Xenopus tropicalis: one gene and its partner. The protein of the gene in region 1 purifies or fractionates together with the protein of each later gene. This does not show direct contact. Links are inferred from orthologs where the notes say so. Each region holds a gene or a part of one and is shown in the gene's direction. Other genes may lie near its edges. The genes, in order: gars1 and gfpt1.

Region 1 (4,410 bases):
GGAGAAAATCAATGTCAACTGCAAACGTACTGAAAAGGTCCAGATTACCGTAGAGACCAGTGAATGGTTTGAAGGAGAGACTGGGATGTGAATAGAAAGAGTAAAAAGTAACTGTAACAATAAAACTAGAGCCTCACAGAGCAATAGCTACATAGGCTCTGGGATCTACCGCCTGGCACGCTCGGGGCACATAGGCTCTGGGATGTACCACCTGGCACGCTCGGGGCACATAGGCTCTGGGATGTACCATCTGGCACGCTCGGGGCACATAGGCTCTGGGATGTACCACCTGGCGCACTCGGGGCACATAGGCTCTGGGATCTACCGCCTGGCACGCTCGGGGCACATAGGCTCTGGGATGTACTATCTGGCACGCTCGGGGCACATAGGCTCTGGGATGTACCACCTGGCGCACTCGGGGCACATAGGCTCTGGGATCTACCACCTGGCACGCTCGGGGCACATAGGCTCTGTGATGTACCACCTGGCACGCTCGGGGCACATAGGCTCTGGGATGTACCACCTGTCGCGCTTGAGGCACATAGGCTCTGGGATCTACCACCTGGCACGCTCGGGGCACATAGGCTCTGGGATGTACCACCTGTCGCGCTCGAGGCACATAGGCTCTGGGATCTACCACCTGTCGCACTCGGGGCACATAGGCTCTGGGATCTACCACCTGGCACGCTCGGGGCACATAGGCTCTGGGATGTACCACCTGGCGCACTCGGGGCTCATAGGCTCTGGGATGTACCACCTGTCGCACTCGGGGCACATAGGCTCTGGGATCTACCACCTAGCACGCTCGTGGCACATAGGCTCTGGGATCTACCACCTAGCACGCTCGTGGCACATAGGCTCTCATAGGGCATTAGCCAATCAGAAACAAGATGGGACTATTAGGGGGATATTAAATTGATCACCATTCTCTAATTATGTGATACAAGCTTTCCCTAGGGCAGGAACCTATAACAGCCAATCAGCATGTAGAAAATGAACTGGTCACCTGTTTAAAAGCAAATCTCTTATTGGCTTGGGGAGAGCAGTGCCTGTTATTATTACTCACAGGGATAAGATCTTATTGTGTTTATTTCTTTGCAGGGAATTCTCCATTGAAACAGAAGGGAAAACGTTTTTGCTGACTAAGGACATGGTGTCTGTCAAGAAATTCCAGAAAACCATACACGGTAATTGGCCGGTTTTACACACATTTTCATTGCTCGGACTGGGAGAGTCGGCCATTGGGAATCATCTAGTGCCCCCCACTGTCCCTGCTGGTATTAAACTACACTTCCCAGCATCCCCTGATACCCCCTGAGTATATGAGATTGCTTGGCAGATACCCCTATAGGCTAAGGGTACATGGGGGGGGGGTTCTATTAGACGATAGGGGGGTCTTGTCCAGATTTATAAATATAAACGGGTGGGGCAAAAATGGTCGCTGTGTGAATCATTCTTTGCTGCATTTATTAATAATATCTCCCCCCCCCCCACAACCCCGTTTGCTGTATATAATATCCTCAAGTATTGGCCCCATATTATTTGTACATTGCCTTGTTGCCCCCCAAGTAAGACAGTGGGGGTCATTTGTAAACACTGGGCAAATGTGGCCCCTGAGCAGTAACCACGGCAACCAATCATTGATAGTTTGCTATGGGTCATTGCAAATGCGGTTATAAAGGCAAACATGTTGCATCCAAGGCTGTAATTGGCCCCCGTGTATTCTGTATTGTGTGCAGAGCTGCCCCCCTCCCCGGCCTGGTTGGTATGTCCCATTATGGCTGAATAGAATGGGTACTGGAGTCATTGTATTGCTGGGCTTATTGTACGGATATGTACGGGCTCTGCCTCCCACGCTTGGGAACCCAACAATGCGCCGCTCTGCGACTTTACCGGCGCGACACAATAGCGCAGACCTTGGCCGGATAATACAGCGACCAAGGCCGACGCTTCAATAAGCTTTTTACCTGTTGCCATGGGAACGGGTGGCACTGGAACCAGGGGACCTTGAGCTGCAATTAAGCGCAGTTACACGCGTCCCTTTATTTGGCCCGTTACCGGGGGGGGGGGGTCTGGCGGAATCGTCTCATTGCTAATCGTGTCGCAATTTTTATTTTTTTTCCAGTCGAGGAGATCGTGCCCAATGTCATAGAGCCGTCGTTTGGCCTGGGGAGGATCATGTACACCGTTTTCGAGCACACATTCCAAGTCCGACAGGGAGATGAGCAGAGAACGGTAATAAGCCCCCCCATAAGGTGCCAAAAAGTTAACTCATTACTCACCAGAAAAGAAGCTGCCATGTTGTGTGGCCCTTGTAGCTGCTGTACTCTGTGCCGGCCACTAGGTGGCCCTACTGTATCAGCACAACTGCACATACCGCTACTTGTAAATCTGTTGCTTCTGTTCCCACAGTTCTTCACCTTCCCGGCCATAGTGGCCCCGTACAAGTGTTCCGTGCTGCCGCTGAGCCAGAACCTGGAGTTCATGCCGTTTGTTAAAGAGCTGTGTAAGTAATGGCTGCCCCGTGGCACCGTTTATACGGGAAAAGCTGCCAATATGCCAATAAGCGGCTGCTGTTTGTGTGTTGTCAGCTGTTTCCTACTGAGCACAGGGCAAGTGTTTGTGCTCCTCTGTAGCAGGACTACAGTTCCCAGCATGCTCTTCTGCAGTTCTGCCCAAGGTGGTGCAATAGGTAGAGCGCCCTCTGTGGTCAGTCAGGGACTGAATGCTCTGACTGGCAATGTACCAGCAGGGGGGGATAATGAGCCCCATGGCTGCCCCCCAGAGATGTGCCACTGGCCTGGTGCAAGAGGATTAGGTGGATTCTGATTTAGCTGACAGTAATACCCCCCCCCCCCAAACACCCTTTATAGACTGCATTTGCCCTTAAGTATCCCTGGGGCCAGTGTTTCTGTAGCTAAATGCAGTGTTCTGGCCCCGCAGCCGACGCCTTGACCAAGAATGGCGTGTCCCACAAAGTGGACGATTCCTCCGGCTCCATCGGGAGGCGCTATGCGCGGACGGACGAGATCGGCGTGGCCTTTGGGATCACCATCGACTTCGATACAGTGAACCGGACCCCTCACACAGCCACTCTCCGGGACCGGGATTCCATGAGGCAGATCCGAGCTGCGGTAATACAGATATTTATTCATTTGTGCCACACATCAGCTGAACTGGGCAGAACGGGGTGTCTGGGCGTGGCTAATTTGGTGTCTGGGCGTGGCTAATTTTGTGCCTGGGCTAAATTGGTGTGGGGGGGGGGGGGGAGTCTAATTTGGTGCCTGGGCTAATTTGGTTTCTGGGCGGGTGTAATTTGGTGATGGGGCGGGGCTAATTTGGTGTCTGGGTGGGGCTAATGTGTAGTTAAAGGGTCACTGTAGCTTAATTGCATATTATGAAATATTGGGGCGAGTGTAGAATCGGGTTCCATGGTGCCCGTCCCATTGTGCAGGTTCACTCTTGCCTGAGCTGCCATTGTTCCTGCCGTCAGTCTCCCCTATTAATAACATTTGTGCCGTTGCCCATAGGTTTCTGAGCTGCCGGGGATCGTCAGGGACTTGGCCAATGGCTGCCTGACGTGGGCGGAAGTGGAGACCCAATACCCGGTATTCGAGGGACAGGAGACGAGCAAAAAGGACACCTCGGAGGAGTGACCGCCCCTTCCTGCTCTCGGGAACACAAACGCCACTTTTTACCATTGCTGTTAATATCAACTCCCCCCTTTTATCCGCATAAAAATAAAGGGAAAGTAACGGCATTATTTATTGCCGACAGGGACTCTCCTTAATTGTAACCACAACCCAATTCCATTACGGTATTAAATATGTTTGAAATATCAAATATTATTCTCTCGCGTTCATTCCTTGGGGCGGAACAGTCTGACCGAGGCACAGAAATGTCTGTAGAACTCTCCCAAATGACTGCCTCCAACTGGGGTAGACATAGCAATCAGCATAGCTGGGCGGAAGTTGGAGCCAAACTGACCCCTGCAGCTGAACTGCCTGACCCACATAAGTCCATTTAGCCATGTTGAAGCAGCAGTTGGACCCAAACTGACCCTTGCTGCTGAACTGCCTGACCCACATAAGTCCAATTAGCCGTGCTCAAGCGGCAGTTGGACCCAAACTGACCCCTGCAGCTGAACTGCCTGACTGCCATATGTCCATTTAGCCATGCTGAAGCAGCATTGGACCCAAACTGACCCCTGCAGCTGAACTGCCTGACCCACATAAGTCCATTTAGCCATGTTGAAGCAGCATTGGACCCAAACTGACCCCTGCAGCTGAACTGCCTGACCCACATAAATCCATTTAGCCATGTTGAAGCAGCATTGGACCCAAACTGACCCTTGCAGCTGAACTGCCTGACTGCCATATGTCCATTTAGCCATGCTAAATGGAAATTTTT
Region 2 (4,282 bases), on another chromosome or scaffold:
CACACAATACCCCTCTACCCCAACCCCTGCTCATTGCCACACAATACCCCTCTACCCCAACCCCTGCTCATTGCCACACAATGCCCCTCTACCCAACCCCTGCTCATTGCCACACAATGCCCCTCTACCCCAACCCCTGCTCATTGACACACAATGCCCCTCTACCCCAACCCCTGCTCATTGCCACACAATGCCCCTCTACCCAACCCCTGCTCATTGCCACACAATGCCCCTCTACCCAACCCCTGCTCATTGCCACACAATGCCCCTCTACCCAACCCCTGCTCATTGCCACACATTACCATCCAATCAGCTTCTCGTCATTATTTACTCTGTAAAGTCTTTGAGTAGTTACTGTTCTTATATGACCTGTTTTTCGCCTGTAACATAAAATATGTTTTTTATTGCCCTGGTGGGCAGAGCAACCAAAAATAGATTGGCTGTAACAATTCCATGTTACTTTTATAACAAATTCTTATCTTTCATTCAGACTATCTCTGCTCATTTCCCACCCTGCCTTTCATTATTTTTCCATCTTTCCAAAGGGGTCACCGACCTCAGGAGCTTCTGAGAGGCTGCAATATCATTTTTACAACTTATCTCCTTGCTCAATTCCTCTCCTGCTCACATTCCAGTCTCTTATTAATACCACTGCCTGGTTGCTAGGGTAAATTAGCAACAAGATCACTGCTGAGTTTCTAAACTTGTGAGCTTAAACAGAAAAAAATGCCTTCTAAATAGACTAACAGACAGATGACAAAAAGACACATACAGGCACATAAATCTGTTACAGACTGAGGCATATATATAAACACTGACAGACACGTACATAGAAAGAAAGTTTGATTCAGATCCTTCCCCCTTTCTTCAATACATTGCTGCGCACGACTTGTTGATCCGAAAGGGTTAATGACGATAGGAAACGCCCCCTCCGCCAGTATCTTTACGCTAAGGAGCTTGGAGGCCCCGCCCACGCTGCGAAGTCACCGCTATCCTGGTGGATCCGGCCACGTCACTGCTGCCAGCAGCACGCCCCGCCTCCCTCCTCTACAGCCATTAAGAATATAAAGATCTCGTAAGGGGCGCGGTCGGAGAAGGGGAGTGCCCAATGAAACTGCTCGCAGCTGGTGACGGCTAAGGAGCTGACCAATGGGAAGAATGAGGGCGGCCGGAGTGACGTCACGGGCCGGTGATGGTCCTTATGTAGGGTAGGTGAGGCAGCTTGGGCAGTGTGTGGCATAGAGAGAGCGCTCCCTATTCACAGATAGTAACATACAGACGGCAGGATGTGCGGTGAGTATGGCTCTTACCCTGCATTGTTGTTGCCCTTCTGCTCACTGTCCCCTCTGGTGCCACTTCCCGCATGCACTGACATCCTTTGCGACATGTCACCTGAGGAGCTGTAAGGGCATCCCCAGTCAGTGCCAGTCCTAGTGGTGCCCCTGAGTGACATTACGTACCCTGAGAGAGTGGCGTTACGTGTGTCTGCGCTTCTTTCCTAACTGCCAGCTCTTATCACTTAGTGGCATTAGGGTGTCCCTAGAGACGGACATTCTCTTGCCTGTACCCCCCATTCTCCAGCCATTCACCTGCAGATCTTCTTAGGCAGAAGCCAGTATTTGGGTTTGTCCCCTGTAGCTGCCATCTCTCTGCTCTCTCCCATTGCCTCAGCACCATACTGTATTATAGTGATTGGTATTGTACCCCCCCCCCCCCCCCCCCCCCCCCGCATTGGGTTATGGGCCTCACCTCTTCTCACTGGGCATTATGTGCCCCAACACAAGGAATAGGGATATGTTATGGGACTGTACTGATGGTGCCGCTACCCTTTCCCATGCATCCCTTGGTGCATTTCCAGCCTGACAGCAATGGTTTCCTCAGCTAGAGTTGCCCTATGTGGGGCCCTTCAGCTTTTAATCATGGAACCTCCGGCTTTCTCTGATAATGACGACTAAGCGATACTGGCCTGAAGCCTTTTTCACTTCTGTCACTTTTAACTGTCAGCTCTAGGTTCCATATTTGCCCCTAGTCCTACTTCCATCTATCCCTGAGGTCACTGGGTTCTTCCCACAGTGAGACACAATCATACTGGAGAGTGGATTATATTGTATTATATTATATTTCTCATACTAAAGAGCATTGTTAGAGTTTGTATCTAGGTGGGTATATGAGAGAGTCTCTGAGTAATGTTTCCCACTAGACTGGCACAGTATTAGGGTACAGGGCAGGGCATTGTCATCCAATACTTTCTTTTCTTCCTCCGTAAACACAGAGTGTAGCAACGAGACCTTCCTCATCATAGAATGTAGTTTAGCAGCCCCATTGTAGTTTCTGGTTAATCTCCCCACGCCCAAGTGATAGTGTTTACTTTATATAAACGCTCATTACCTGTTATGAGCTGTCAATATTTCATAGCCGAGGGAGGTGTCATATAATTGCTTTGTAAAAAAAAATTCCCTTTAGAGTTTTTCCTGTTGGTTGATTTATTTTCAAATGTCCCTAGTTTTGGCTTTTCTTTGGGACGGAGGCACTGTGATGAAAACAAGGTTTTGTTTGTACCTGAGACAAAGGTGCTACAATAGGGGCAGTAGACACAACGACTGCATGGGTGGGGCGTAGCTGTTGGGGGTCCTGACTGATGTGCAGTTGTAGATCTGTGATCATGTTCTGCAATTTGGGGGCCCCTAATATGCTTATCTACTGTAATCATGTACCATAGATAGCTAATGAATTATGGTGATATATATAATATACAAGAGCCATAATAATTTTATTATTCACATTATATATATATATATATAATTAGTGGTGTTGTAGATGTCTTGTAATAGTCTAGTAAAATGCAAATTGCCGTGCTAATATAATTTAGTTGTGCCTGAGTCAGAGCTGATAAGAAATATTAGGTCCTCAGACTGTAACAAGCAGAGTTACTATTGTCATGCCAATCATCTTTACTTTATAATATCAATGGGTGCTTGTATTTGCATTTCATTAGTGGCAGCGTATTGTGCAGCGCTGTATACAAGGGCAGTGATACCCAGACGGCCCGACGGTAGAGCCTATTAGCACCTCAGTTACATACATAAACACTGCTATTTGCATAATTAGCACTTGTGAATGTCTCCTCAGGTATTTATCAAGATAAATTCAATGGATTAACTTGTTCTACAAGACTAGGATTAGAGTAGTTAATTGGATATTGGTGTCTAGTAGAACAGGCATTGCTTGCTTGCCTTCTGAAACTGTGATATTAAGATTTTAGGCCCGTGGTGTAGCTTTGTATATGGACGTTCCTACAATTCTCTTGCTGTGTCCAGAGTATGTACTAAGGCTGAGACATGTTTAGTGCTAAGGGGTCCCATTGTGTCATGTTATCAGCTTCTCTTTCCTTTTCTGGAGAGCCATCCCACGCAGTTTCCATTATTGGGGCCCCGTGCTACTTAATTGCCCAGGTCTATTTAGGGGGCCCCAGTTATTAGGCCTACTGGTCATCTAGGTGGTTTGCCTTGCCAACAAACAAAATGGGGCCCCAATTAAAAAAAAAAAAAGGACCCTGGCATGCATGGTCATTCCCTTGATCTGCCGAGGCCATTCCCCAGTTATGCAAAGCTTTGCCCTCTGCCCACAATCCCTGCAAATTATGATTTTCCTTAGGGAGTTCTTACTGCCCCCTGTAGCCCCCTGATGGCAGCCCTGTCATGGGGTATGAGTGCTGGGAGTATTGTTGCCTTGGGAGGACCATGGCCCCTGTAGGATGCTCTGAACCCATCATTGTAAATCTTTCACAAAAGATATGTCTGAATACTGAATTGAATCTAAATCCTAATTGCAAAATACCAACAACTACACCCCCGGCCCCCAGAAAAAAATAAAAATATCACTTTCAATTGCCTAGTCACATGACTTTAAGGGCTTGCTTTCTGTTGGGCAAGCGTTACGGTCTTGTTTCCAGACACATAGGTCATGCTGAATGCAGAATTCAACCACATTCCCAGGGATTTATTTGGGTTTTCAATTCACCTGAATTCTGGATTTGGCTGCCTAGCCCCATGTTATTAGAGTAATAGTGTTTATTAATTGTGTTTATTTATTTTGCATAAGTTCAGTAATCTGTAGCAGCCAATCAACAATTTGCTCTAATCAGCCTTACTGGAAGATGAAGTTCTGCAACATCTGCTTAACTGCCAGCTCTTGCTTTTTTCTAAGGATAGTGCCAGGTTTTTAAAAGTGACCAATCAGCAAGCAAAATGTTGGTTTAGTCCCAAGTGCTTGCTCTCAGGGC

The links.
Region 2: the proteins of gars1 (region 1) and gfpt1 fractionate together in Homo sapiens (co-fractionation; 3 studies listed by BioGRID, with this or other methods). This does not show direct contact. The link is inferred for Xenopus tropicalis from reciprocal best matches to the Homo sapiens genes GARS1 and GFPT1.

The regions. Positions count from the first base shown.
Region 1 is NC_030682.2:7,801,774-7,806,183, forward strand, and holds the end of gars1 (glycine--tRNA ligase), read left to right. Parts: intron 1-1,101; coding exon 1,102-1,187; intron 1,188-2,125; coding exon 2,126-2,235; intron 2,236-2,412; coding exon 2,413-2,506; intron 2,507-2,943; coding exon 2,944-3,134; intron 3,135-3,530; coding exon 3,531-3,656; 3' UTR 3,657-3,843; downstream 3,844-4,410. UniProt on the Homo sapiens protein: Catalyzes the ATP-dependent ligation of glycine to the 3'-end of its cognate tRNA, via the formation of an aminoacyl-adenylate intermediate (Gly-AMP).
Region 2 is NC_030679.2:122,592,766-122,597,047, forward strand, and holds the start of gfpt1 (glutamine--fructose-6-phosphate aminotransferase [isomerizing] 1), read left to right. Parts: upstream 1-1,186; 5' UTR 1,187-1,286; coding exon 1,287-1,293; intron 1,294-4,282.